Linked DNA regions of Stegostoma tigrinum. The protein of the gene in region 2 interacts with the protein of the main gene of each other region in a biochemical or structural test. Links are inferred from orthologs where the notes say so. Each region holds a gene or a part of one and is shown on either strand. Other genes may lie near its edges. The genes, in order: ptpn18 and pstpip1a.

What was found.
Region 1: the proteins of pstpip1a (region 2) and ptpn18 form a complex in vitro, tested with the Homo sapiens proteins (2 studies listed by BioGRID and IntAct). The link is inferred for Stegostoma tigrinum from reciprocal best matches to the Homo sapiens genes PSTPIP1 and PTPN18.

The regions. Positions count from the first base shown.
Region 1 is NC_081402.1:2,188,124-2,202,928, reverse strand, and holds the start of ptpn18 (tyrosine-protein phosphatase non-receptor type 18), read right to left. Parts: upstream 8,026-14,805; 5' UTR 6,257-8,025; coding exon 6,167-6,256; intron 1-6,166. UniProt on the Homo sapiens protein: Differentially dephosphorylate autophosphorylated tyrosine kinases which are known to be overexpressed in tumor tissues.
Region 2 is NC_081389.1:19,786,404-19,802,037, reverse strand, and holds the start of pstpip1a (proline-serine-threonine phosphatase-interacting protein 1a), read right to left. Parts: upstream 7,396-15,634; 5' UTR 7,180-7,395; coding exon 7,147-7,179; intron 5,348-7,146; exon of another isoform or gene 5,250-5,347; intron 1-5,249. UniProt on the Homo sapiens protein: Involved in regulation of the actin cytoskeleton. May regulate WAS actin-bundling activity. Bridges the interaction between ABL1 and PTPN18 leading to ABL1 dephosphorylation.

The DNA.
Region 1 (14,805 bases), on a different chromosome or scaffold from region 2:
CACACACGGTCACAGTGGCACAGACAGTCTCTCTCTCTCTCTCTCTCTCACACACGGTCACAGTGGCACAGACAGTCTCTCTCTCTCTCTCTCTCTCACACACGGTCACAGTGGTACAGTCTCTCTCTCTCTCTCGCGCGCACGGTCACAGTGGTACAGTCTCTCTCTCTCTCGCGCGCGCACGGTCACAGTGGTGCAGACGGTCTCTCGCGCGCGCACGGTCACCGTCGCGCAGTCTCTCGCGCGCGCACGGTCACCGTCGCGCAGTCTCTCGCGCGCGCACGGTCACCGTCGCGCAGTCTCTCGCGCGCGCACGGTCACCGTCGCGCAGTCTCTCGCGCGCGCACGGTCACCGTCGCGCAGTCTCTCGCGCGCGCACGGTCACCGTCGCGCAGTCTCTCGCGCGCGCACGGTCACCGTCGCGCAGTCTCTCGCGCGCGCACGGTCACCGTCGCGCAGTCTCTCGCGCGCGCACGGTCACCGTCGCGCAGTCTCTCGCGCGCGCACGGTCACCGTCGCGCAGTCTCTCGCGCGCGCACGGTCACCGTCGCGCAGTCTCTCGCGCGCGCACGGTCACCGTCGCGCAGTCTCTCGCGCGCGCACGGTCACCGTCGCGCAGTCTCTCGCGCGCGCACGGTCACCGTCGCGCAGTCTCTCGCGCGCGCACAGTCGCGCAGTCTCTCGCGCGCGCACAGTCACAGTCGCGCAGACAGTCTCTCGCGCGCGCGCAGTCAGTCGCGCAGACAGTCTCTCGCGCGCGCGCAGTCAGTCGCGCAGACAGTCTCTCGCGCGCGCGCAGTCACAGTCGCGCAGACAGTCTCTCGCGCGCGCGCAGTCACAGTCGCGCAGACAGTCTCTCGCGCGCGCGCGGTCACCGTCGCGCAGTCTCTCACGCGCGCACGGTCACCGTCGCGCAGTCTCTCGCGCGCGCACGGTCACCGTCGCGCAGTCTCTCGCGCGCGCACAGTCGCGCAGTCTCTCGCGCGCGCACAGTCACAGTCGCGCAGACAGTCTCTCGCGCGCGCGCAGTCAGTCGCGCAGACAGTCTCTCGCGCGCGCGCAGTCACAGTCGCGCAGACAGTCTCTCGCGCGCGCACGGTCACCGTCGCGCAGTCTCTCGCGCGCGCACGGTCACCGTCGCGCAGTCTCTCGCGCGCGCACGGTCACCGTCGCGCAGTCTCTCGCGCGCGCACGGTCACCGTCGCGCAGTCTCTCGCGCGCGCACGGTCACCGTCGCGCAGTCTCTCGCGCGCGCACGGTCACCGTCGCGCAGTCTCTCGCGCGCGCACGGTCACCGTCGCGCAGTCTCTCGCGCGCGCACAGTCGCGCAGTCTCTCGCGCGCGCACAGTCACAGTCGCGCAGACAGTCTCTCGCGCGCGCGCAGTCAGTCGCGCAGACAGTCTCTCGCGCGCGCGCAGTCACAGTCGCGCAGACAGTCTCTCGCGCGCGCGCAGTCACAGTCGCGCAGACAGTCTCTCGCGCGCGCGCAGTCACAGTCGCGCAGACAGTCTCTCTCGCGCGCGCAGTCACAGTCGCGCAGACAGTCTCTCTCGCGCGCGCAGTCACAGTCGCGCAGACAGTCTCTCTCGCGCGCGCACAGTCACAGTCGCGCAGTCTCTCGCGCGCGCGCGCACAGTCACAGTCGCGCAGACAGTCTCTCGCGCGCGCGCACAGTCACAGTCGCGCAGACAGTCTCTCGCGCGCGCACAGTCACAGTCGCGCAGACAGTCTCTCTCGCGCGCGCACAGTCACAGTCGCGCAGACAGTCTCTCTCGCGCGCGCACAGTCACAGTCGCGCAGACAGTCTCCCGCGCGCGCGCACAGTCACAGTCGCGCAGTCAGTCTCCCGCGCGCGCGCACAGTCACAGTCGCGCAGACAGTCTCCCGCGCGCGCGCACAGTCACAGTCGCGCAGACAGTCTCCCGCGCGCGCGCACAGTCACAGTCGCGCAGACAGTCTCCCGCGCGCGCGCACAGTCACAGTCGCGCAGACAGTCTCTCGCTCGCGCACAGTCACAGTCGCGCAGTCTCTCTCGCGCGCACAGTGACAGTCGCGCAGACAGTCTCTCGCTCGCGCACGGTCACAGTCGCGCAGACAGTCTGTCGCTCGCGCGCACGGTCACAGTCGCGCAGTCTCTCACGCGCGCACGGTCACGGTGGCGCAGACAGTCTCTCTCTCGCGCGCCCACGGTCACGGTGGCGCAGACAGTCTCTCTCTCGCGCGCCCACGGTCACGGTGGCGCAGACAGTCTCTCTCTCGCGCGCCCACGGTCACGGTGGCGCAGACAGTCTCTCTCTCGCGCGCCCACGGTCACGGTGGCGCAGACAGTCTCTCTCTCGCGCGCCCACGGTCACGGTGGCGCAGACAGTCTCTCTCTCGCGCGCCCACGGTCACGGTGGCGCAGACAGTCTCTCTCTCGCGCGCCCACGGTCACGGTGGCGCAGACAGTCTCTCTCTCGCGCGCCCACGGTCACGGTGGCGCAGACAGTCTCTCTCTCGCGCGCCCACGGTCACGGTGGCGCAGACAGTCTCTCTCTCGCGCGCCCACGGTCACGGTGGCGCAGACAGTCTCTCTCTCGCGCGCCCACGGTCACGGTGGCGCAGACAGTCTCTCTCTCGCGCGCCCACGGTCACGGTGGCGCAGACAGTCTCTCTCTCGCGCGCCCACGGTCACGGTGGCGCAGACAGTCTCTCTCTCGCGCGCCCACGGTCACGGTGGCGCAGACAGTCTCTCTCTCGCGCGCCCACGGTCACGGTGGCGCAGACAGTCTCTCTCTCGCTCGCCCACGGTCACGGTGGCGCAGACAGTCTCTCTCTCGCGCGCCCACGGTCACGGTGGCGCAGACAGTCTCTCTCTCGCGCGCCCACGGTCACGGTGGCGCAGACAGTCTCTCTCTCGCGCGCCCACGGTCACGGTGGCGCAGACAGTCTCTCTCTCGCGCGCCCACGGTCACGGTGGCGCAGACAGTCTCTCTCTCGCGCGCCCACGGTCACGGTGGCGCAGACAGTCTCTCTCTCGCGCGCCCACGGTCACGGTGGCGCAGACAGTCTCTCTCTCGCGCGCCCACGGTCACGGTGGCGCAGACAGTCTCTCTCTCGCGCGCCCACGGTCACGGTGGCGCAGACAGTCTCTCTCTCGCGCGCCCACGGTCACGGTGGCGCAGACAGTCTCTCTCTCGCGCGCCCACGGTCACGGTGGCGCAGACAGTCTCTCGCGCGCGCACGGTCACGGTGGCGCAGACAGTCTCTCGCGCGCGCGCAGTGGTGCAGACAGTCGCGCAGACAGTGTCTCACGCGCGCACACAGTCTCTCGCGTGCGCGCAGTGGTGCAGTCAGTCGCGCAGACAGTGTCTCACGCGCGCACAGTCACGGTGGTGCAGACAGACAGTCGCGCGCGCACAGTGGTGCAGACAGACAGTCGCGCGCGCACAGTGGTGCAGACAGACAGTCGCGCGCGCACAGTGGTGCAGACAGACAGTCGCGCGCGCACAGTGGTGCAGACAGACAGTCGCGCGCGCACAGTGGTGCAGACAGACAGTCGCGCGCGCACAGTGGTGCAGACAGACAGTCGCGCGCGCACAGTGGTGCAGACAGACAGTCGCGCGCGCACAGTGGTGCAGACAGACAGTCGCGCGCGCACAGTGGTGCAGACAGACAGTCGCGCGCGCACAGTGGTGCAGACAGACAGTCGCGCGCGCACAGTGGTGCAGACAGACAGTCGCGCGCGCACAGTGGTGCAGACAGTCAGTCGCGCCGTCAGTCTCTCGCGCGCGCAGTCACCGTCGCGCAGACAGTCTCTCGCGCGCGCACAGTCACCGTCGCACAGTCTCTCGTGCGCGCACAGTCACCGTCGCGCAGACAGTGTCTCGCGCGCGCACAGACACGCAGTCTCTCTCTCTTTCTCTCTCTCACGCACACACACACACACAATCACAGAGTCACACAGTCTCTCTCACACACACACAGTTAGAGTCACGCAGTCTCTCTCTCTCATACACAGTCACACAGACTGTCGCTCTCTCTCACACACACACACAGCCACAGTTACACAGACAGTCTCTCTCTCTCACACACGCAGTCACACTAGCACAGACAGTCTCTCTCTCAAACACACAGTCACAGTTACATAGTCTCTCTCTCGCGCACGCACACACCGAAACACACACACAATCGCAGAGCCGTGCAGTCTCTCACATACACACACACAGTCACAGAGCCGCGCAGTCTCTCTCACACACACACAGTCACAGTGGCACAGACAGTCTCTCTCTCACACAGTCACAGTGGCACAGACAGTCTCTCTCTCTCTCACACAGACACAGTCACACAGGCAGTCTCTCTCTCTCTCTCACACACACCGTCACAGTGGCACAGACAGTCTCTCGCGCACGGACACACAGAGACACACACACAGTCACAGAGCCGTGCAGACAGTCTCTTGCGCACACACACACTTCACAGCTACGTGCAGACAGTCTCTCTTGCGCGCACACACAGTCACAGTGGCACAGACAGTCTCTCGCGCGCACGCATACACAGTCACAGTGGCACAGTGGCACAGACAGTCTCTCTCTCACGCGCACACGGTCACAGTGGCACAGACAGTCTCTCATACACACAGTCACAGTTACACATTCTCTCTCTCGCGCACGCACACACAGACACACTCAAACACACAGTCACAGAGCCGCGCAGTCTCTCACATACACACACACAGTCACAGAGCTGCGAAGACAGTCTCTCTCTCACACACACACAGTCACAGTGGCACAGACAGTCTCTCTCTCACACACGCAGTCACAGTTACACAGTCTCTCTCTCGCGCGCACGCACACACAGACACACTCACACACACAGTCACAGAGCCGCGCAGACAGTCTCTCACATACACACACAGTCGCGGAGTCTCTCGCGCTCACATACAGTCACAGTCGCGCAGACGGTCTCTCGCGCGCGCACAGTCACAGTCGTGCAGATGGTCTCTCGCACGCGCACAGTCACAGTCGCGCAGACAGTCTCTCGCGCGCACACAGTCACGCAGTCTCTCTCTCTCACACACACACACACACACACAGGTGCGCGCGCGCACACACAATCACAGAGTCACGCAGTCTCTCTCTCTCATACACAGTCACAGAGTCACACAGACTGTCGCTCTCTCTCTCACACACACACACACACACACACACACACACACACACACACACTCTCTCTCACACACACACACAGTCAGAGTCGCGCAGTCTCTCTCACAGACACACATAGTTAGCAAGTCACACAGATACACACAGTCAGGCAGACACACGGTCAGTCAGAAAGTCACACAGACACACATTATCAAACAGCCATACAAACTCACACAGACACAGCTAGCAACCGAGGCAGACAGACAGGACACCGACAGTCACACAGACATATGGACACACAGTCAGACAGACACAGACACACAGTCGCACACACACAAATACAGCCAGGCACAGTCAGACAGCACAGACACAGTCAGATAGTCACGCTGTCACTCAGACACACAGTCGGACAGACAGTCAGAGACTGATATGAAAGATAGACAGGCAGTCACATGCATGTGCACACACACAGACACGGAGACATGCATCCACACATACACACTCTCACAGGGAGACACACACACACACATAGACAAGTGGCGCATGCGCACACATGCACGTATACACACACACACACACACAAATTGCCATGTTTAACAGCTGAAGTAATGACTAGAGCTGCAGTTTACAGGCTCTTAGTCCAGTTTTGCCATCTTCACCATGGCTGAGGGAGCTGAGCAAGGGCTGACCCCTGTAGGTGTACGAGAAAATGCTGGGGGGCTAGGAGTGTTGGGAAAGGGAGTGGGAGGGGCAGAGGTCATTGTACATTCTGCCTGGGGAGCTGTGACCCTTGCTCACTGAGATCCGATCGACCAGGATGTGCAGACTCACTGACGCAGGCCACTCAGCCCTTCCACCTATTACCTTACTCACAGATGATCACCACGGGTTTCTCCCGCACCTCCCCAGAGCTAGTGAGGTGAGGTGGGGGTGGGGTTGGGGGTGGGGGGGGGGTAGCAGAGACCATTCCGAACCCGACACCATCCAGCGAGCGAGCTGGGACCCACACCCTGCCAGCGGTACCGCGGCCCAGGCTTACACTGAATTCCTTGCTGAATCCGCTCTCGTCTCCATCCGCCTTCTCCAGCTCAGCGAGGTGCTGCAGGAACCCTCTCAGTATCTCCTCCATGGGTCACGGCGCTCCACCTCACCCCGTCTCGCAGCCCGCACTGCAACCGCTCTCTGGCCTCTGACTGCTGCCCAACTTTATCCGACACTCACACAGCCCTGGGTCCTCTCATTCTCCCAAGATCTTCTCTCTCTCTCTCTCTCTCTCGCTCTGAATAATCCGTTATCTCCAGACCATCTCCCTCAAGCTACTCTCTGTCCTTCCTGCCCAACACTCCCTCCACAACGATTCTCTCTATCTCTCTCTCTCTCTCTCTCTCCAGGCCACTCCCTCACCGTTACCTCTCCCTCGATTCTCTCTCACGCGCACTGTTGACCCACTGTCTGCTTGACTTCTCAGTTTCTCCAACTCTATTCAAAATCGGTTTTCTCTCTCGCTGCTTTCAATCACACTCCATTCTGCCTCTCTGTTTTCACCGACACTGTCTCTCTATCTATTTAATTTTCTCACTACTTCCTCACAATGTCACACTATTTGCTCCCTCCTCACTTTTTTCTACACCATTCTCTTCTCTCTCTCTCTGTCTGTCTGTGTTCACTCGTACAGTCTATTTCCAGTTTAAACCGTCTCCCTCACTATTTTCTCTTCCTCTCCCTCTGTGTGATAACTCTATACTTACATATTTCCCAATGCACGCTTTCTCCCTTTTACTATTAACTTTCTCTTATTCACTATTTTCTCTCTGATAACTCTACTTTATATATTTCCACTTTATATTCCTCTGCCTCTCTGACAACTCTATTATCTATTTCCAATTTAAACTCTCTCTCCTTCACTGTTTTCTCTCCCTGACTCTTTTCCCTTCACTACTTTCTCTCTTTCACTCACTTTCGCCCCACTCTCTGTCTCACCATTTTTCCTCTCTTTTTCTGTCACTATCTTATCTCTGTCTTTCACTTGTTTCCTTCTCTCTTTCGCTTTCTACCCTTCTCTCCACTTCAATATTTTCTCTCTCTCTCTCTCCCCTTCACTTTTTTTCCATCTCTTCCACATTCACAATTTTCTCCCTCCTTCACGACTTTCCCTTTCTCCGACCCACTATTTTCTCCCTCTTTTCCACCTTTCTCTACTTCTCTAATTTCTCTCTCTCTCTCTCTTTCCTTCACTTTTTCCCCATCTCTTCCTTCCTTCACTACTTTTCCTTTCTATGCCTCACTATTTTCTCCCTCTTCGTCCCCCCCACGTCTTTCCTTCACTTTCTTCTCCTCTTTCTCTTCCTCCTTGACTATTTTCTCTCTCTTCTTCTCTCAAGGTTTTTTCTTTCTATTTCCTTCACCTTCTTCTCCTCTTTCTCTTCCTCCTTGACTATTTTCTCTCTCTCCTTTACTGTTTTCTCTCTCTCCACCTCACTTTTTTCTTTCTATTTCCTTCACCTTTTTCTCCTCTTTCTCTTCCTCCTTGACTATTTTCTCTCTCTTCTTCTCTCACTGTTTTTTTTTCTTTCTATTTCCTTCACCTTTTTCTCCTCTTTCTCTTCCTCCTTGACTATTTTCTCTCTCTCCTTCACTGTTTTCTCTCTCTCCACCTCACTTTTTTCTTTCTCTTTCCTTCACTTTTTTCTCCTCTTTCTCTTCCCCCTTCACTGTTTTCTCTTTCTCACTTCCCCCCCTTTTTTCTCTCTCTCTCTCTTTCACTTCTTTGCCCCCCTCTGTCTGTTTGACTAATTTTACCCTCACAATGACTACTTTCCCCCTTTTTCTCTCTCTCTCTGATAACTCCGTATTTGCAGTTTGAACTCTCTCTCTCTAACTGCGATCTCTCTCGCTCTCCCGCCCCCCGCGGGCACGGCACCTGATTGGACCGAAGCCCCTGCCCATCGGGGTCTCCTTGACACACCTCCAGGGCGCGGCTCCGCCCACGCCAGCGCCTACTGGTCGGAATCCACGTCCGTCAGAGCGCAGGCCCTCACCCCAGTGGCTCGATTTGGAAGGGGCGTGACATAAGCCCGGCGGCTGTTGGAGGGAAGCCGCGCCCATCGTGTGGGTCGACGGAGGGGCGGGACGGGGAGGATAGAATCTCCACCCTTCGATTGGTTAGGAGCCGCGTCCATCAGTAATTGGGTACCCACTATTGGTCAGAGATGGAGGCGGGATTTCCATGCTGCCTTTTTATTGGTGAAATGGTGTGTCCTTTGGAGAATCTTTGTCTTCCATTGGCCTAAGATGGGGGAAGGCGGACAACAAGCCTGACTGCTGAATGGTTAAATGTCACGTCTTTTTTCTGACCCGCCCTCCCATTGGTTCGATGCGTGAAGGGGGCGGGTAGCAGTCTAAATGGCTGTGAGCGCTTGACCAATCCGAGTAGGCTTCCTCAACCACTGGAGCTGCCATTGGTTCCGACGTGAGCGTTTCCCGCTGATTGGGTGACGGGGCAGCCATTCGAAGGCGGAGACGGCGCCTGGTCGGGTTCGGATTGGAGAAACCCGGCGAAGGAGGCGGGGCAGGGTGGAGAGGTGCGGAGGAGGCGGCCGCTCGGATTGGTCGGCGTCAACGTCAGTCAGGGCCGGCAGCGGAAGGTGAGAGAAACAGGGATCAGGCCCCAGGGACAGGGGGAGAAGTGGGGGCTCCCCCTGATACCGGGTCCCAGAAGCTGACACTGGGGGAGGCCGGGAGGTGAGCGGAGGGAACAGGGAAGGTGTGAGGTTGGGAGGGGAGCCTCTGCCTCTGCCTCTGCCTCTGTGTCAGGGTATGTAATTATGGGGTGTGTACGGGGCGTATGTAGGACGTACGTTGGGGGTGGGGTGTATTTGGGGTTGTGTATGGGACCGGCGTGTATTTAGGGGGGTGGGGCGTGTATTTGGGGGGGGGGAGGGGCGTGTATTTGGGGGGGGGGAGGGGCGTGTATTTGGGGGGGGGGAGGGGCGTGTATTTGGGGGGGGGGGAGGGGCGTGTATTTGGGGGGGGGAGGGGCGTGTATTTGGGGGGGGGAGGGGCGTGTATTTGGGGGGGGAGGGGCGTGTATTTGGGGGGGGGAGGGGCGTGTATTTGGGGGGAGAGGGGCGTGTATTTGGGGGGGGAGGGGCGTGTATTTGGGGGGGGGGGGGAGGGGCGTGTATTTGGGGGGGGGGAGGGGCGTGTATTTGGGGGGGGGAGGGGCGTGTACTGGGGGGGAGGGGCGTGTACTGGGGGGGAGGGGCGTGTATTTGGGGGGGGAGGGGCGTGTACTGGGGGGGAGGGGCGTGTATTTGGGGGGGGAGGGGCGTGTATTTGGGGGGGGAGGGGCGTGTATTTGGGGGGGGGAGGGGCGTGTATTTGGGGGGGGGGAGGGGCGTGTATTTGGGGCAGTGAATGGGACCAGCGTGTATATGGAGGCGGGGTGGCGGGTGTGTATGGAGGCGGGGGGGGTGGCGGGTGTGTATGGAGGCGGGGGGGGTGGCGGGTGTGTATGGAGGCGGGGTGGGCGGGTGTATTTGGGGCAGTGAATGGGACTGTCGTGTATATGGAGGGTGGGTGTGTTTGGAGTTGTATGTGGAATGTGCGTGTGTACTGGGGCTGCATACGGGACCGACCTGTGTATTTGGGGCTGCGTACGGGACTGACCTGTGTATAGGACCTGTGTGTACATTGGGGGGTGGTCATGTATAGGGGGATTGCATATATATGGAGTGTGTGTGTGTGTGTTGTGACTGCACACGTGGATGTGGGGAAGTGTGCATGAGGGGGGATGAGGTGCGTATATGGTGGCCATGCGTGTGTATCTCTATACACGGGAGAGCGGTGCATCTGTCTGCGTATCAGGGTGGGAGGAGGATGGGGGCGTGCGTGTGCACGTGATGTTGGAATGAGTCCTTGCTTGTGTGTACAAGGTGAGGTTGAGAGTCATTGTGCATGTGCAGTGAGGGTGAGGCAGTCTAACAGTGATACCAGGCCCGAGACAAGTCCATTTCTCTCCTCCACATCCACAATCCCCCTCACCCCTCCATCCAGGGGACTGCCAGCCCTGCTGAGTTTCTCCAGCATCCCTCAGGATTTGTATCCCAACGTCTGCCGGGGTCTGACCTGTCTGCTCCCACCACCAACAAGGACTGCCTCCTGGTAATATCGCCCCTCCACCAGCCACATTCTCCCAAGTCTGTAAACTGATGCGGTCGCAGTTATAAATAACCGAGCAGCTTGTATGTTTCTTTCTCCTCCTGTGCGCCTAGCAGAGCCTGTTCGGCCCCAAAGTGCAGACGGTGATCGCATTGCACCTCACCACCAGCCTGCCCGTCTCGGCGGGGGAGATAGAGACCAGGCCCGCGTCCCCTGTCGCTTCGTCTCACCTCACCTATTTTTAAAAACCCGCCACGTCAGTCCTTTGACCTGCGCCTCGTTGCTTCCGAGATGCAGGCAGGCGCGCCCAAAAATAGTGGGGCGGGTGGTGGGGGGGGGGGAGGCTTGAGTGCTGAGGGCAGTCTGCACAACCAGAACCACAGGTTAAAGCAAAAGTTGAGAGCAAATTTCCATTTGCACTGGGCCAGTAACCGAGCAGCTGCTGCACTACAGAGACGGGTGGGGAATGCACCCTAAGCAGGAAGAACAGAGGAGTTGAATATTATTTAAATGTGGAAAGCTTTGGAACAGAGGGATTTGCGAGTCCTCGTGCACAAATCTCCAAAAAAAAACTAACATCTAAGTTCAGGCTGACTATCGATTTGTCTCTCTAAGGGAATAGAGTACAAACTTAGGGGTTTCGTGCTAAAACTGTACGAAGCAAAGAGCCAGACCACAGCTGGTTTACTGTGAACGGTTCTGGGCCCCAATTGTCTGAGTAAAGACAGACTGCAGTTGAGAGGAGGCTCATTGGCCAATCCGGGGGATGGAGGGGCTGCCTCCTGAGGGAGAGGTTGAGTACGTCAGGTGGAGTTTAGGTGAGTGAGGGGGTGATCTTATTGAAACAGAAAAGGCTGCCAGGGTGGGGAGGGGGAGAGCCTGACAGGGGAGATACGGAGGGATCGTTTCCACGCTTTGTGTGGGAGAGTCTAGGACCAGAGCGGGCATCGTTCTCAGAGTAAGGTGGGGACGTGGGTGGGTCGCCCATTGAGGGCAGAGATGGGGAGGACTTTCCTCCCTCCAAGGGGAGTGAGTCTGTGCAATTCCTCACCGCAGAGGGCTGTCGGTGCTGTGTCGCTCGAGGCTGAGATGTTTAATCAGGAAGTGGGGGGGATCGAGGGGTTATATTCAATGCTGAGAGAGAGAGATGTTTAATCAGGAAGGGGGGGGATCGAGGGGTTATATTTGAGGCTGAGAGAGAGAGATGTTTAAGCAGGAAGGGGGAATCGAGGAGTTATGGGGAAATGGCGGGAGAGCAGATTTGAGGGTGGTGATCAACTCAGTCATGATCTTACTGAATGGGGGAGCAGACTTGATGGGCTGAATTGGCCGATAAACTTGTAGGAGTGTAGCAGAGCACTGTCTCACGTCACGGTTTTGGTCAGGGTGCTGTCTGTCTCCGAGGGTGGTAACAGCGAATACGTGTGACTGGGGCTCTGTGTACACCACCGATGTTGCTTTCCAAAGAAAGACCAGACTGACCAGTCGGGTCTTCAAACTGTAGCATGCGGGAGCTTGCTGTGCATGTAAAAGTCTCCTTGTTGGCAGGGGAAGGGCAATGGCCAGTTTGCCTGTAGCCTCCCCCCCGACGTGTTGCAGGCTCTGGTGTGTTTGCAGGGATACACATAGAACATAGAACATTACAGCACAGTACAGGCCCTCCGGCCCTCGAAGTTGTGCCGACCTGTCATACCGACCTCAAGCCCATCTAACCTACACTATTCCATGTACGTCCATATGCTTGTCCAATGACGACTTAAAGGGGGCTTGGACACCAGGGAGAGACCTCTGCATCAATCCCAGGAGCGGACTCAAAATTGTGAGTCTGTGTGTGTCGACAGATGCTGTCAGACCTGCTGAGTTTCTCCAGCATCCTCTGTCCATTTCAGAATTCCAGCGACTGTGGTATTTTATGTGCGCTCACCCCCCCCCCCCCCCCCCCCCCCCAAACCCGGCCCCTTGCAATGTGCCTGGGTATCCCGGTCTCCAGCCAATTTGATATCAAGAAACAGTTGGAGACACTGGATACTGTAAAGGCCATGGGCCCTGACGACATTCCTGCAGTAGTACTGAAGACTTGTGCTCCAGAACTTGCCGGTCCCATAGCCGAGCTGTTCCAGTCCGGTTACAACACTGGCATCTACCTGGAAAATTGCCCAAGTAAGCCCTGTAAACAAAAAGCAGGACATATCCAACCCGGCCGATTACCGCCCCAATGGTCTCCTCTCAATCACCACTAAGGTGATGGAAGGTCTCACTAACAGCGCTATCAAACAGTAACTTGCTCGGTGACTGCCCAGCTCCTGACCTCATTCCAGCCTTGTTCAAACGTGGACAGAAAGAAGTGCTGAGTCCTTGAGTTTGAGGTCAAGGCTGCATTCGACCGAGTGTGGCATCGGGGTGGCGGGGCAAACTCTCTGCTGGTTGGGGTCATAGCTGGCACATAGGAAGATGGTTGTGGTTGATCGAGGTCAGTCATCTCAGCTCCAGGACATTTCTGCAGGAGTTCCTCAGGGTCGTGCCCTGGGCCCCAAACATTGTCCGCCTCGGACCCTCCGACAACGCAGGATGGCGCGGGAGCTAAGCCCCAGATAGTGTCTGAGTTGGCAGGGAAGCGTGGGTGTGGGTGGGTGATATCTGAGAGTGCAGGGTCTCGTCCCTGATGGCCTACTTCTTCGTTCCAGCCCCACAGCCTGGCGTTGGGATGCTGCCAGCCGTGACCCAGCTTGACCCACTGCAAGGGGTCACAGGATGAGCGTGGAGCGAGTCAGCCCTTTGCCGCTCGGAGAGGAGGTGATGATGGGAGGGGATGAGCAGGCTGTGTCTCCAGGTAACAGCTCTCACTGTGCCGCGATCTCCCCGTGTGCAAAGCATGGCCCCAGCTCTGTCACACCTCTTCCACCACCACCCACCCCCGAGGGGGAGGGGACAAATGGTCTCATGGTCCTGTGTAGCAGGCTTGAGGGTTCAGAGGGGCTAAATGGCCTCCTGTTCCTATATAACAGGCTGGAAGAGGAGGTGGGCTGAAAGGCCTCCTGTCTCAGCGTAACAGGCTGGAGGAAGAGGTGGGCTGAATGGCCTCCTGTCTCTGTGTAACAGGCTGAAGGAAGAATGGCCTCCTGTCTCTGTGTAACAGGCTTGAGGAAGAGGTGGGCTGAATGGCCTCCTGTCTCTGTGTAGCAGGCTGGAGGAGGAGGGGCTGAATGGCCTCCTGTCTCTGTGTAGCAACCTGGAGGAGGAGGGGCTAAATGGCCTCCTGGCTCAGTGTAGCAGGCTGGAGGAGGAGGGGCTGAATGGCCTCCTGGCTCAGTGTAGCAGGCTGGAGGAGCAGAATGGCCTCCTGTCTCTGTGTAGCAGGCTGGTGGAGGAGGGGCTGAATGGCCTCCTGGCTCAGTGTAGCAGGCTGGAGGAGGAGGGGCTGAATGGCCTCCTGGCTCAGTGTAGCAGGCTGGAGGAGCTGAATGGCTTCCTGTCTCTGTGTAGCAGGCTGGTGGAGGAGGGGCTAAATGGCCTCCTGGCTCAGTGTAGCAGGCTGGAGGAGGAGGGGCTGAATGGCCTCCTGGCTCAGTGTAGCAGGCTGGAGGAGCAGAATGGCCTCCTGTCTCTGTGTAGCAGGCTGGTGGAGGAGGGGCTGAATGGCCTCCTGTCTCTGTGTAGCAGGCTGGTGCAGGAGGGGCTGAATGGCCTCCTGGCTCTGTGTAGCAGGCTGGTGCAGGAGGGGCTGAATGGTCTCCTGGCTCAGTGTAGCAGGCTGGAGGAGGAGGGGCTGAATGGCCTCCTGTCTCTGTGTAGCAGGCTGGAGGAGCTGAATGGCCTCCTGTCTCTGTGTAGCAGGCTGGAGGAGGAGGGGCTGAATGGCCTCCTGTCTCAGTGTAGCAGGCTGGAGGAGGAGGGGCTGAATGGCCTGCTGTCTCAGTGTAGCAGGCTGGTGGAGGAGGGGCTGAATGGTGTACGGTTCCCGGATTGAAAGTGAGCTGTTTCTCTGTCTCCCTCCCACCCCACCTTCCGCAGGTGAGGATCCCCCAACCCCGGGCGCCGACGGGGCTGGCCGCAGCTGGCAGGGGGTCGCGCTCCCGGTGACCCTCCTGGACGAGGAGGAGGACAGCGAGAAGGAGCTCTCTGACACCAGCTCGACCGGGAATGCGGCAGAAGATCCGGCCAATTTCCCGGCACAGCCCGCCCTGCTGGGGAGCGGCGGAGCAGGGAGTCCGGGCCGGGCCCCCTGCCCCCGGAGCGAGGACGTTACTGCCGAGGCCTGGCGAGCCCACCGCAAGCATGTCTTCGTCCTGAGTGAGGCAGGAAAGCCTATCTACTCCCGCTATGGCAATGAGGAGGCTCTCTCCTCCACCATGGGGGTCATGATGGCCCTGGTCTCGTTCGTACAGGACGGAGATAACACCATTCGCTCCATCCAGTCAGGTAGGAGAGGCCCCACACTAACCCTGGCACAATAGGGTGGTATACAGGGAATAACAGATACCCGCCCCCTCCGGGGAGGGAGTTACAGACTGGAATCTG
Region 2 (15,634 bases):
ACTCCCACAGCCACCTAGAATACACCTCCTCCCACCCACCCTCCTGCAAAAATTCCATCCCCTATTCCCAAATCCTCTGCCTCCGCCACATCTGCTCCCACGATGAGGCATTCCACTCCCGCACATCCCAGATGTCCAAGTTCTTCAAGGACCACAACTTTCCCCCCCACAGTGGTCGAGAACGCCCTTGACTGCGTCTCCCACATTTCCCGCAACACATCCCTCACAGCCCGCCCCCGCCACAACCGCCCAAAAAGAGGATCCCTCTCGTTCTCACACACCACCCCACCAACCTCCGGATACAACGCATCATCCTTCGACACTTCCGCCATCTACAATCCGACCCCACCACCCAAGACATTTTTCCATCCCCACCCTTGTCTGCTTTCTGGAGAGACCACTCTCTCCATGACTCCCTTGTTCGCTCCACACTGCCCTCCAACCCCACCACACCCGGCACCTTCCCCTGCAACCGCAGGAAATGCTACACTTGTCCCCACACCTCCTCCCTCACCTCTATCCCAGGCCCCAAGATGACTTTCTATATTAAGCAGGGGTTCACCTGCACATCTGCCAATGTGGTATACTGCATCCACTGTACCCAGTGTGGCTTACTCTACATTGGGGAAACCAAGCGGAGGCTTGGGGACCGCTTTGCAGAACACCTCCGCTCAGTTCACAATAAACAACTGCACCTCCCAGCCGCGAACCATTTCCACTCCCCCTCCCATTCTTTGGATGACATGTCCATCATGGGCCTCCTGCAGTGCCACAATGATGCCACCCGAAGGTTGCAGGAACAGCAACTCATATTCCACTTGGGAACCCTGCAGCCCAATGGTATCAATGTGGACTTCACCAGCTTCAAAATCTCCCCTTCCCCCACCCCATCCCAAAACCAGCCCAGTTCATCCCCCCCACCCACTGCATCCCAAAACCAGTCCAACCTGTCTCTGCTTCCCTAACCTGTTCTTCCTCTCACCCATCCCTTCCTCCCACCCCAAGCTGCACCTCCATTTCCTAACTACTAACCTCATCCCACCTCCTTGACTTGTCCGTCTTCCCTGGACTGCCCTATCCCCTCCCTACCTATCTTCTTTTCTCTCCATCTTTTGTCCACCTCCCCGTCTCTCCCTATTTATTCCAGAACCCTCACCGCGTCCCCCTCTCTGACGAAGGGTCTAGGCCCAAAACGTCAGCTTTTGTGCTCCTGAGATGCTGCTGGGCCTGCTGTGTTCATCCAGCCTCACATTTTACTATCTTACTTTTGAAATGTTGCTCTGCAACCAGACATGCAGCCAGATTCCACGAATAACAAATAGCCAGTAACTTATAAACATCCACTGAGCTTGCAAACAACACAATTCAGGCAATAATAACTCGAATAATGTTAGTCTAAATTACACTGGATATTAATGCTCAGCTCTGGAGTGTGGAACATATACATTAATGTTGCAATTCAGAGTTAAAGATGTCACTAATTAATGGCATTGTAGAGTCAAATGTTAAATGAGGCACCGGAGAGCTCGCTTGAAGATTAGTGAGCTTGATAATGTGAGCACTGACGATAAAGTAATGGTGCTATAATTATTTTGCTATTTTTAGACTGTTTGCATTAATCAAATTCCCTTCTCTATTTGAGATCATGCCTATCACTACTGAAGTCTCTCAGTTGCCTCGGGAGTCAACAGCCAACCAAAACACTTTTTCACCATTTGTGTTCCCTAAACCTCTTTTAAATTATCTTTCCTCCAAGTGCACTATTCTAATTTCCTTAGTGTATCAAAATATTGAAATCATTCAGGAATTCAACTTGCGACAAAAGAACTAAGATGTATTAAAAATGAAAAGGCTCAGCAAATCTGTTAGCTTCAGGGAGAGAATGAGAGTTAAGGAACTTGGTCTCTCTTCTCTCTCCCCACACAGATGCTACCAGGTCTGTCCAGCACATTCAACAGTTTCATTTTCATTAATGATTTCCAATATTTGCAGCACTTTGGTAGGTATTAATGCTGTTCGAAACCAGAAACTTCTGAAAATGCACAATATGTTATTCAACATCAGAAAAGAAACTTATTTTATGATCATGAGTCTTAAGACTATTTCCCAGAGTAGAATCGTTTAATGCCAGGAGCATGCATTTAAAGTGAGAGGGGCAAGTTCGAAGCAGATGCGAGGGGCAAGTTTTCTTTTACACAGAGTGCAAGGAGTCTGGAATGCGCTGCCAGTTGGTGGTGGAGACTAATACAATAGAGGTGTTTAAGGGACTTTTATATAAGCACATAAAAATGCAAAGAATGGAGGGATATGGACTAAAGGCAGGCAGAAAGGATTAGTTTAATTTGGCGACCTGTTCTATGTTCTAAGATCCCTTTATCAGATGGATAATTTCAGCAGACTTGAAGGTCACATTAGAAAGAGTAACTTTTTTTTGTACATAGACTGACCTACTGTGTATTCTATCATTTTGCTTTGAAAGTCAAGATTCTTGGGTTTTCTTTGCCTCTCTAACATTGTTTGATTTACATCATTAGTGAAATGCTAAATAAAAATCGGAAATGCTGGGGAAACTCAGCAGGATTGACAGCATCTATGGACAGAGAAACAGAGTTAATGTTTCAAGTGCAATGTGACTTATTCAGAACTGGAACATGCCATGTTCTATGTTGTTGATAGAGGGGCAAGAGTAAGAAGAACAGATGGTGAGGATGCCCAGAGGGAAAAAAAAAGAATACTAATGGCTGTGAAGGAGGGATAGGGATATGAAATGATATGTGTGAAAATGTGTCTAAAAAAAATGAGTTCTACAACTCAACGTTGACTTCAAAAACGTGATTTTGATGACATCCTCCTCCACCCACAATGGCGGTGCTTTCTCATGTCTTGTTGGATTTTCTCTAGCAGAGCAGACCCATTTTCTCACATGTACAGGCTCCATGCCTATCTTCCCCACATAATTTAATATTTCCCAACCTTATTTTTGACACAAGTAAAAACGTGTTTGACTTTGTCAGGTTAGCGCTCAGACCCCGACGAATGATAAGTTGAATAAAGGACTTTTGGTTTGAGAAGCCTATCGTGCACTGGTGTTCATAATTCAGAATACCACCACTGATGCAATGTGGCAGCTGAATGTACTATCTAAAGGTACTCTGCAGCAACTCACCCAGGCTATTCAGATATCACCTTCCAAACTAACAACCTCTAACTATGAGACCAACAAGGCAGATACATGGGAGCATCACCACCTGGAAGTTGCCCTCCAAGTCACACATCAAGCTGCCTTGCAGCCAGGGCTCAACACGCCTTACATCAAGGCTCAATAACCAAGACTCAGGGCTCTAAGGGGCCCACTGTGCTCAGCTCATCAGTCTAAGCCAGAAGCAGGTCCCTGACCAATGACTTCCCTCACTGCTTGGAATGATATTGCAGCTCCTTTGCTGCTGCTGCGTGAAAATCCCAGATCTTCCTGCCTAACAGTATCGTGAATGTCCCTACATCATGTGGACTGCAGCAGTTCAAGGAGGCAGCTCACCACAACTTCTCTACGGCAATGAGGAACGTGCATTAAATACTGGCCTAGCCATTTTCTTCCACGTCTCATGATTCAATTTTAAAACCTTATCTCATCATAGGTCTAGCAATCCAGTGCTCTGGACTTAAAATCCTGCAATGTTAAATTCATTTAATAGATTTGGAATAAACAGATTGAGTAATAATGATCATGAAATTACCAGACTGCCTTTAAAACATATCTTAATTCATTAATATTCATTACAGAAGGAAATCTCATTTTCTTAATTGGGTCTGGCCTCTCCTGCTATCAGTAATAGATTAATCTCCTCTGAAATAGGTTCCCTAGGAATCTGTTCTGTTGTGAGGAAGCTGATTTCTTAGCTGTGCCAACAATACCCACGTCCTGTGTAAAATAATGCTTAAAATATTCAGTTTAACAATTCCAGAATCTCACCAACATTTGTTAAGATAAAAGGTATGCATCTTTTGCACCCAGATCAAGAGATTGTTATGGAGGGATACAAAGGAAACTTGGGTTTTCAGCCTTGAAAGGAAAAATTGGTTTAAAGTTTGAGATTCAATTAATTCTATTTGATTAATATTAAAAGTAACATAAAAAAAACAAGTGGCCAGAATTCTTAAAATGCATTCAGGCAATTTTCTTTTAAGCCAATAAGTATATTACAAGCTCAATGAAAGAAGGAACAGTTTCTGGCCTTGTTTTAGGAAGCAAAGTTGAACAGATGGCACATGTATCAGTTGAGCAGTTTTCGTCATCGTGATGATAAGTCTGTTAGATTCAGTGTTGAAACGGATAAGGACGTGGATGGACTAGGAGTAAAAAAAAATTTAACTGTGTGAAGGCCAATTTTGCTAAGTAGATACATGATTTAGCAAAAGCAGACTGGAAAGAGTAAATTGACGGTAATTGCAGTGTCATTGTAGTGGGAGGCACTTAAGGAGGAGATACATTGTTCAAAATGCAAAGAAAGACAGTGACAAGTTTCATTGATGCTAAAATATGGTTGAAGTTGTTAAGGCAATAAAAAGGGAAGCTTCTGTCAGGTTCAGAAAACTCAAAATTGCAGAAACGCAGTGAAGTGCAGACAGGTCAAGAAGTGAATTCAAAAAATGAGATCAGGAAACCAAACAGAGGGTATAAAAAATTGGCAAGTACATCAACAAAGTCTCGATGACGTTTTTCTAAACTAAATACGTAAAATCACAACAAGATAACCAAGGAAAAAGTGACTTTTGGAGAAAAAAAAACAGTAACTTGTGTAAGAGGAGGAAACCATGAACATGGTTCTTAACAAATGTTTTGGAAAGAATGTAATACAAGGTGCAGGAGTCCTAACCTCCTAAACAAAAACCAGTGGCAAACCCCACCCAAGAATCTGGATGGGATAGGGTGCCTAACTTGCAGCAGGAACCTGCCACCAAGGCTTCCCACCCCTTAGTGGATGGGTGGATATCCCGCTGCCCAGAGCTTCTAGCCAACTAGAGGCTAGCAGGTCCCCTAGGAACAGGAGTAGGCCATTCAGCCCCTCAAGCCTGTTCAACCAGCCAGTTAGATCATGGCAGATCTGTGGCCTAGCTTCCTATCCTTTGGCCCATATCTCTTAAAAAATTTGCTCAGCAAAAAAATCTCAAATTTGAAAATGATCATCGATCCAGTATTTTCTGTTCTTTGTCAATTAGAATTTCAAACATCTACCATCCTTTGTACCTACCGTCTCTCTTGAATATTCTGGCCTTAATTCTCACACGATGTCCCCTAGTTCTGGAATCCCAAGAAGTGGTATTGCATGATGCTCAGGCAGAAGAGGAATTAACAACGGAACCCACAAGGAAGGGGTAGGCTCACTGGCACCAGACAGGGAGAACCTGGTTTGTGGGTGGTGTTTGGTGGGTTTGTGTTTATGATAGGGCAGCCCGGGGATCTTCACTGGCTTGCCTGCATGGTATAGACGCTCTGCCCAATGCTGGTGGCGTGCCAGAAGTGGTGGAATGAGGTCCTAGGTAGTCAATTAAGGATCTCAGTTGTTTTCTGGGAAAGAAGGTGAGCCTTATGCCACTTACCCTGCATTAAATCAGAGTGGGGGGGGGGGGGGGGGGTGAGGCATGATTTGGGGATGTAATAGAACATCCATCCTGTAAATATCCTGACTGATTAATCAAGCCCCCACCACCCAGTCTAGATCTAGAAGAGAACAAAATTCCATCCTTTTGTCTTCATAAAGCAAGGAGTGTGGTGGCACAGTTCAGACTCTGTTTAAAAGAGGAGGTATGTGTATATATTGGTTGGAATAAACATGATGAAAAACACTAAAGGGTTTTGCATTTTAGAATGTAGATACATTTCCAAGGCCAGGATGATGGCAACTGTTAACAGAAACAAAAGAAGAAACAGCTGAGACTCTGATCATCATGTTCCAATCCTCTCCATCTACAGACAAGGTCTTGGAGGACCAATGTTTAAAAAAAAGGGGCAGACTGAGCAATTACAGGCAATCAACCTGAACTCAGCTAAATTGTAGCTGACATGGTTAAAACATTTAGAGATAGTACAAAAAAATTGAGCATATGGTTGATAGTGAATAGAAAGGAGAAGACCAAAAGAAATTATTGATGAGGGTCAGGTGGACAGAGGAAATGAAAGTCAATGGTGAGGTGATGCATGGAGGAGTAGAGGAGAAATAGACAATAAATGGAGGACTCTGTGAAGTGTAAAAGACAAAAGGACGTTTGGGTCAAATTCCTGGAACTTCCTTTCGAACAGCACAGTGGGAGTCCCTACATCCCAAACACCGTAGTGGTTGTAGAAGGCATCTTAATACCACCTTCTCCAGGGCAGATAGCGGTGGGTAGTAAATCCTGGCCTACATTACTCTTGAGCGAATGAGATAGGTCGACACCAGTTTTCACTAACTGCATACACTCTCTCAGAAGTGCTCACAATCACCACGTACCAGTAGTGGGGGGGGGGGGGGGAGTGGTGGTTCTGGGCGGGCGTGGTGCTGAGCTGCATTTCTGAAGAAAGGATCTACCCTTCCGATAACACACGTTCCATAATTGGAGTCACAATGCACGACTCAACTGCAGATGTACCCAAGAGGCTCATAAGACACAAGCAGGGGTTTATATTCGATGCACAGGAGAGCAAATGACATTTCTAAATGCCCAGTGAGATTTGCAGTTCACTAAACTAAGGGTTCAGATTCACTCGGATCAACTGAACGTGGCTATCGATCACCCAGAGAGAGTCAACGGCAGTTTGTAACATTAACAGCAATGCAAAGTTGTGTGATGTCAGAAATTAGATCCGCAAATAAAAAAAGTCAACCCAGTGCAACAGAAACGAAGCTTCTTTGTTTAACGGTGCAAGTATGAACTAAACCCTTGAGACGAATTAATTTTCAGGATTAAATATTGGCTGTCACTGAACACTGAATTCAAGCCCTGTACTTTAACGCAGCCAAATGGCCTCGCATTACAAGTTAGAAGGTTTTGATGTTGTCTGAAACGAAATTTAAAATAAAACAAAATAACTGAGCTGAAATTGGTCCATTGTTAACTTGTGCAACCCGTATAAAGGGTTTCACTTCACTGAACGTGAAAGCTACTCACCCAGAAAGCATCCTTAAAGCGCAGTCGAGTCATAGCGGACAGGAGCAAAAACAAAATGAAACTTCCCGGTGGAGTTGATATGACCGTCTCTGGTCAGTGTTGCTTCAAGGATGGGATCTTTGGCGTAGGTTTTGTTTTCTCGCTTTTTAACTAAATCGCGACCTCCAACGGGATTTGACCGTCCAGTTCGAGCACTCTTGTTGGTAGCAACCTGCACGAAGAGAGAACAAGGAAGGGGGTTTTTGTTCACTCAAGTGATGTCAGAAGTAACCGCAATTAACACGTGAAGAGTTTCAGCAACACTCCAGAGAGTTCAGAAACCGACAACGCGCAGCGTGAGGCAATTTATTTCGAGATTCTTGGAGTGCTGGATGCAAAAGATATGCTGTAACAAATTTATTTTTATATGTAAAAAGGTGTCTATGAGGAGGTAAGGTGAAAACAGCTGTCAACGTCGTTGAGAATCATTAGCCGAGATCACGACTTCCTACAGCACAGAGAAAGGGTTCACTGGGATAAATGGAGCTCAGGGGAGAGAGAACTCTTTCTTGAGTTGTAAGTTGGCGATTTTTGTGATGTACATAATGCTGCAGTTCAGGCTGCATTCACAGTTCCAAAAGCAGTTTATTTTATTAGCAACCTTAATTCCCGTAACCACGTACTGGTATATAAATTTCACAACCCTACTCAGATGATACACTTCTGGAGCAGAGATAATGGGAACTGCAGATGCTGGAGAATCCAAGATAATAAAATGTGAGGCTGGATGAACACAGCAGGCCAAGCAGCATCTCAGGAGCACAAAAGCTGACGTTTCGGGCCTAGACCCTTCATCAGATGGGGGTCTAGGCCCGAAACGTCAGCTTTTGTGCTCCTGAGACACTTCTGGAGCAGTTGGGGCTTGAAACCAGGCCTTCTGGCTCAGAGGCAGGGACACTACCATAAAAGCCTTTAATGGTTTTGAAAAGAACTTGCTTGGACCTATTGTAATGCGCTTCCACAAGAGGTGGGACTTGAACCTGCACCCTCTGACTCAGAGGTAGGAACACTACCACTGCATTTATCCTTTTTTTTATGGCAAGTCAAGATCACGTGTCTTATCTCAGCTCATCTCATAGTCTGTAAGGTTGTTTTGGCATCTGAGCGTCTTGCTTCTTGCCAACATCGAGTTCGGTGCCCTCTCCACTTTTATCCGTCTCTAAAGATTTCCAGAGCTGTTGCAATCCCCATCTAGTTGTGCTTTGATCAGTGGTCACTTAAAATCAGTGAGACACTTCCTGACACCACTCATGGCAAAGCAGTCTTAACATCACATCATCCTAGAGGCCATTCAGCCTCTCATCCATGTTGGCTCTCTGTTTGAATGATTCAGGTATTTCCCACTTGGCTGTGCCAGTACTTCCCCTTCAGGTTATCATATAATCCCTATAGTGCAGAAAGAGGACATTTGGCCCATTAGGTCACACCAACCCTCCAAAGAGGAGCATCCCAACCAGAGCCCCCCCGCCCCCACCTTATCCCTATAACCTCACATTTACCATGAGGTAACTCACCTCGCCTTCACATCATTGGACACAATAGATAATTTAGCCTGGCCAATCCACCTAACCTGCACATTTTTGGACTTTGGGAAGAAACCACAGCACCCAGAGAAAACCCATGCAGACACTGGGAGAATGTGCAAACTCCACACAGACAATTGCCTGAGGCTGGAATCAAACCTGCAATCCTGGAACTGTGAGGCTCATCAGTGCTAACCACTGAGCCACCATGCCATAATTCTTATCCAATTGTCTTTGGAAAGCCATGATTGAGTCTGCCCTCATCACCCTGTCAGGGCTTTGATAGACTGCTATGCTGAATGATGACAGCAGGAAGCTGAGTATTGAGATCCTTACCATTGGCTGTGTAAAAATATTTTTTCTCTGTCTTGCTGACCTTCTTTATCCGATCACCCAATATCGTTCCCAACTGGTTCTTGACTCTTCTCCTCGCGAAGCAGTTTCTCTGTCTTACACTGTCTGGTGATTTTGAACAGCGCAATCAAATCCCCCTTTAGTGTCTCCTTTTCTAAGGAGAAGAGCTGTCAGCTTTGACAATCTGTCCAGGTCCATCATCCCTGGAACTATTCTTACAAAATTTATTTTCACACTCTTTCTAAAGCTTTCACATCCTTTGGGAGGTCCAGTGCCCGGGTTTGGACAAGATGCTCTGACTGAGGCTGAAAGAGTGTTTTATAAGGGTTCATCATGACTTTGTGCTTTTCTATATGGCCTGGATATAGAGGGAACATGGATGTGATGTTTCTTTTATGGGATTGTGACCATTGGTAAAATATCACCTTGACTTTGTTCATCATTCACAAAGTAACTGTCATCAAATTAAGTTTAAAAAGAACCTTGTGCTCACTTTGTTGCGAAAGACTAGACTATAGCCCATTATAACTATATTGAAGGTCTGAGCCGTGATGGTAGAATCAGCAAAGACTGCTATGCTTGATGATGAGAGTGGGAGGCAGTATTTTGTCTTCAGGATCAGAAAGGGGAACCACTTCTGGTGTCTCTCCACACCCAAACAGGATAACCAAACTCTTGACAAATAAATAGTCTGTCAACCCTATCCTAAAGTCAAAAAATGTGGCGCTGGAAAAGCACCACATTTTCCAGCTCCTCATTTATTGACTGTAGCTTCCAGCCTCTGCAGTTCTTACTGTCTCCAAATCCTACGCTAAACATCAGCAATACTTGTAGCTATATGGACAAAGGCAGCAGTAAACTGGGAACACCATCACCAGCAAGTTCCCCTCCGGGTTTCACACCATCTTGACTTAGAAATATATTGCTGATCCTTCACTGTCACTCAATCAAAATCGTGGAACTCCTTTCCTAAGGGCATTGTGGGTGTATGTATACTAAAAAGATTGATCTTCTCAAGGGCAACTAGGGATAGGCAATAATTGCTGGCCCAGCAAGCAAAGCTCACATTTCCATGAATGAATAAAAACTAACCATCATCTGTTCCTCAGTTTCACCTCTTATCAAATAGCCCTGTCAGACCCTACTAGATGGTAACAACCAACACCATTGCAGCAGTAACATTGGATAACAACTGCAGTGATTCAAGGACAAGATCCATTACTGTTTCAGAACTACCAGAAGTGGACAATTAATAAAACCTTGTCAGTGTTAACCACACACCCTGAATAAAAGTTTCCACAAGGTTTTAACTGATGCAGGCCTTCTCTCCCTTTCACACCCACTCTCCAGAGTACAAGCTGTTCTCATTGGCTGTTGCAGACGTTTTGCAAAAAAAAACAATTGCAGATCTGCGCATTTTAGATGTGGAAGTTATTTGTAATGAATTGGGGTTAAACATTCAGCACCTCCTGGATTTACTGTTGTTAAGCAGGCCAATATAAAATTTCCCATGGTTCACAACAGTCATAGTTTAATTATTGACAGCCTCTATAATGATAAAATAAAACAGTCAGTACAGAAAGGAAGAGAAAACTTTGCAACACGACTTGCATCTTTAGCATTCTGCAGCCAGGATATTGTGTTTTGAGCCTAGTCTGCATTAAGTAACACATCTGACAACTTATTTTCATGTGGCTAGAAGCAATGGATGCTGCAGACAAGTTCCACACTTGAAGACACATTTTCAAAGAAGTTGTATACTAGTCACTTCCTGAACCAATTACCCCAGGTTTTAATCCAATATGATGTCAGGATAATCAACTGAAAAATCTAGCTGCTGTCAGCTCGTCTCCTATTATTTCTGAAAGCAGAAATATTTTTAAATTCAATGTCAGCTTGTCCGGTTGGTACAGTATTCACATGTTACTAGATTCAAGCCACACTGTGGGACTTGAGGACATAATTGAGGCTGTCACTTCTGTGCAGCACGAAGTAAGTGTTGATTGATTCGGGGTGTGATTGTTGAGATGAAATGTTGAGGTCACTATCACGTGGACATGGATGATTCAGTGACAGTCTTCAAAGAACATCCTAGCCCTTAGCCTTCAATAGTTCTTTTAAAAAATTTATTCACAGGATAAGAGTGTCACTGGTTACGCAGCATTTATTGCCTACAGGGCAGTTAAGAGTCAACCACATTGCTGGTGTGCTGTGGGTCTGGAGTCACATGTAGGCCAGACCAGGTAAGATGGCAGTTTCCTTTCCTAAAGGACATTAGTGAACCAGATGGGTTTTCCCCCAACAATTGACAACGGATTCATGGTCATCACTAAATTCTTAATTCCAGATATTTATTGAATTCAAATTCCACCATCTGCCATGGTGGGATTCGAACCCAGATCCCCAGAACATTATGTGGGTCTCTGAATCAACAGTCCAGGCCATTGCCTCACCTGATACTTTATTTGTTCATGGGACCTGGGCAGCACTGGCTGGGTCAACAATTATTGCCCATCCTAAATGTTCTTGAGAAGATGCTGGTGGGCTGCCTCCTTGAACCAAAGCAGTCTGTGGTGCATAGGTGTACACACATTTTTGCTAGTGGAAGAGTTGAATAATTCTGACACAGTGACAGTTATCTAATTCCTAGTCAGGATGATGTGTGGCTTCGTGGGGGAGAACTTGCAGGTTGTGGTGTTCCCATGTTTCTGCTGCCCTTGCCATTCTACATGATAGAGGTTGTGAGGTTGAAAGGTGATATCTAAAGAGATTTGGTGAGTTGTTGCAGTGCATCTTGTAGATGGTATACTCTACCATGTATCAAATTATTAATGTTCAAGGTGGTGAATAGGGTGCCAATCTAGGGACTACTTTGTCCTCAACGCCATTAAGCTTCTCGAATATTGTTGAAGATGCCACCTACCCAGGCACGTGACGTTCAACTGGCTTTTCATCCATTAGTTTGTGGTGACTTGTTGTTATGTACAAAAGATGGCTTTTATATTTATCTATATAACAATTATTGTATTTAAAGTAAAACAATTGTTTTGATACTATGGAAAGTTTTCCTGGAGATGTGATAAGGTGCCTAATAAATGCAAATCTTTTTTTATTCATTCGTGGGATGAGGGCATCACTGGCCAGGCAGCATTTATTGCCATCCCTAATTGCCCAGAGGGCAGTTAAGACTCAACCACATTGCAATGGCTTTGGAGTCACATGTAGGCCAGACCAGGTAAGGATGGCATTTTCCTTCCCTAAATGACATCAGCAAAGCAGATGGACTTTTTCCTGACAATTGATTCACAGTTATCATTAGATTCTTAATGTCAGATATTTTATTGGATTCAAATTCCACCAGCTGCCATGGCAGGATTCGAATCCAGGTCCCCAGAACATTATCTGAGTGTCTAAATTAACTGTCCAGTGACAAAACCACTAGGCCATCACCTCTCCTGTTCAGAGTATGATTTAAGAAGAACAATATACTGAATGTGTTCACCAATTACGACAGTTTCACTTTGCAGGCCAGTGATCTTGAGGCACACTGACAGTGTTTGTTGCCTCTGGGCCAGAAACTTACGTTGAGTTCCATGCCAGAATTTGTTGACCATGAAAGTTGTATTTGTAACGTGGCCAAACAGATTGATTGTCAGCCTATAAATCCTACCAACATAACTCTCGGCAAGTGATATGAGCAGGAGAGTTTCCTGATTAGCCAGAACTATGTGTGCTGACTACAGGATCCACATCTTACTATACTCCATGGGCAGGTTCTTGCCATGAGCAAGTACCGTCATTGTTCTGAGGGACTGCCAAACAATAATATTCTGTTATAAGTTACACATTCTATGCCTTGCAGTCAATCTGCTATAAAAACAATCTCAGTTTGGTGAACTTTGCTTTATAACTTAATGCCCAACTACCAGTTCACCATCATTGCTGTCCTCTCTGGTATTCCAAAATACCGCACAGAAAATGAAAGCTGACAGGAGGAAAAGACAGCAGATTTAATCATTTATTTGTCTAGTTTGTACTATTATATATTCATTTCAGTAAAAGCTACGTTACAGTTAATAATCCAAATATGTGGTCCTTTAAAAGAAAAACAGAAATTACTGAACCAACCCAGCAGGTCAGGCACCATTTATGAAGATGCAGTTGGGTTGATGGTTGATAGCTGGGTAGTATAGGAGTCTCCTGTGGTTATCCCCATCTCTAACAGATGTGCTGTTTTGGATACTGTAGGAGGGCTGGCTTTTCAGGGGTGTAGAGCACTAGCAGCCACATTTCTGATACCGTGACTAGCTCTACAATGAGGGGTATTTCAGGTCCCAAGCGATTGATTGTGACATGGGACTATCTCAGTCTGGATCACGGACAGACATTTCTGCAACCGTCACAGAGACAGTAGGATGGTGTGTTGCCTCCCTGTTGCCAAAATCAAGGATGTCTCAGAATGGGTGTAGAATATTCTGTTTGGGGAGAATGACCAGCAGGAGGTCATTGTACATGTTGGTGATGATATAGATAGGGAAAAGGATGAGGTTCTGCAGAGCAAATATGGGAAATTAGGCAGGAGATTTTAAAAAAAAGTCCTTGAAGGCAGTAATATCTGGACTATTCCTGGTGCCACGTGCTAGTGAGAGTAGTAAAAGGAGGATAGAGCAGATGAATGTGCGGCTGAGGAGCTGGTGTAGGGGACAAGGGTTTACATTTTTGGGTAGTAATGACCTGTATAAGAGAGACAGGTTCCACCTGAATTGGAAGGGAATCAATATCCTTTAGGGGAGATTTGCTAGTGTTACTCGGAGGTTTTAAACTAGTAAGGGAGGGATAGGAACCAAAGCAATGGTGAGAAAAGAGAAAAGGCTGGTACAGTAAATAAGGGGAACAAGTCAAATAGTCGAGACAGACAAGACCTTGGGAGAGAATGAGGTAAGACTGATAATTGAAACTGCATTGACTTCAAAGCAAGAGGCCTGACAGGTAAGGCAGATGAATTTAGGGCATAGTTGGGAACATGGGACTGGGATATCATAGCTATTAGACACGTGGCTCAGGGATGGACAGAACTGGCAGCTTAATGTTGTGTGGTAAAAATGCTGGAGGAAGGTTAGTAAAAGGAGGCAAGAGAGGAAAGGGATAATTGGGACTGCAGATGCTGGAGAATCCAAGATAACAAAGTGTGAATCTGGATGAACACAGCAGGCCAAGCAGCATCTCAGGAGCACAAAAGCTGACGTTTCGGGCCTAGACCCTTCATCAGAGAGGAAAGGCAGTAGCGTTTTTAATTAAGGATGTAACTGAGGAAGGATATTTGTCGGGGGATCATCCAGTGATGTTATACAGGTGGAACTGAGAAATGAGAAAGGGATGATTATCTTATTGAGATTGCATCATTGGCCCTCCAAATAGTGAGCAGAAGTTGAGAAGCAAATATGTGAGGAGGTGTCAGATATTTGTAAGAAGAAGGCTGTAATGGTATGGGATTTTAACTTTCCAAACAAAGACTGTGATGATCATAGTCGTGTTGGGTAGGGAGGAAAGAAGAAAGAAAGAAGAAAGAAGGCAGGGCTAGTGACCAAGCTATCAGTGGGGAGGCATTTTGTGGCAAGTGATCGTAATTCTATTAGTTTTAAAATAGTTATGGAAAAGGACAGAACTGATCAAAAAGGTAAAAGTTCTAAATTGGAGCAAAGCCAATTTTGTTGGTATCAGACAGAAACGTTCAAAAATTGGAGATAGGGGATGAGACATCCCTGATTGGAGGATGCCATATGCAGGTAAAGGGACAGTTGGGAAGTGGGAAGCCTTTAAAAATGAGATGAGGAAAGTTGAGAGACAGTATGTTCCTGAGAGTGTGGTAGGTGTAGGGAATGCTGGATGACTAGAGATATTGAGGTTCTGGTGAAGAAAAAGGTGGAGGAATATGTCAGGTGTAGACAGCTGAATTTGAGTGAATCCCTAAAGGAGTATAAGGGCAGTAGGAGTATACTCAAGAAAGAAATCAGAAGGGGCATGAGATAACTTTGGCAAACAAGAGCTAAGGAAAATTCAAAGAGATTCTGTAAGTATATTAACAGCAAAAGAGAAATGAGGGAGAGAATAAGGCACCTTAAAGATCAACATGGCTGTCTGTCTATGGAACGACAGGAGATGGGTGAGATACTAAACACATATTTCACATCAGTATTTACTGTGGAGAAGTATATTGAAGCAAGGGAACTTCAGGAAATAAATAATGATGTTTTGAAAAAAATTCATATTACAGTAGAGTAGGTGCTGGAGGTCTTAAAACGCATAAAGTAGGTAAATCCCTGGGACCTGATGAGGCGTGTCCCAGCACTTTGTGGGAAGCTAGGGAAGAGGTTGCTGGGCCCCTTGCTAAAATATTTGTATCATCAATAACTACAGTGAGGTGCGGGAGACTGGAGGTTGGCTGATATGGTGCCATTATTTAAGAAAGGCTGTAAGGAAAAGTCAGAGAACTATACATTGGTCAGCCTTATGTCAGTGGTGGGTAAGTTATTGGAGGGGGTTCTGAGGGACAAGATTTACATATATTTGGA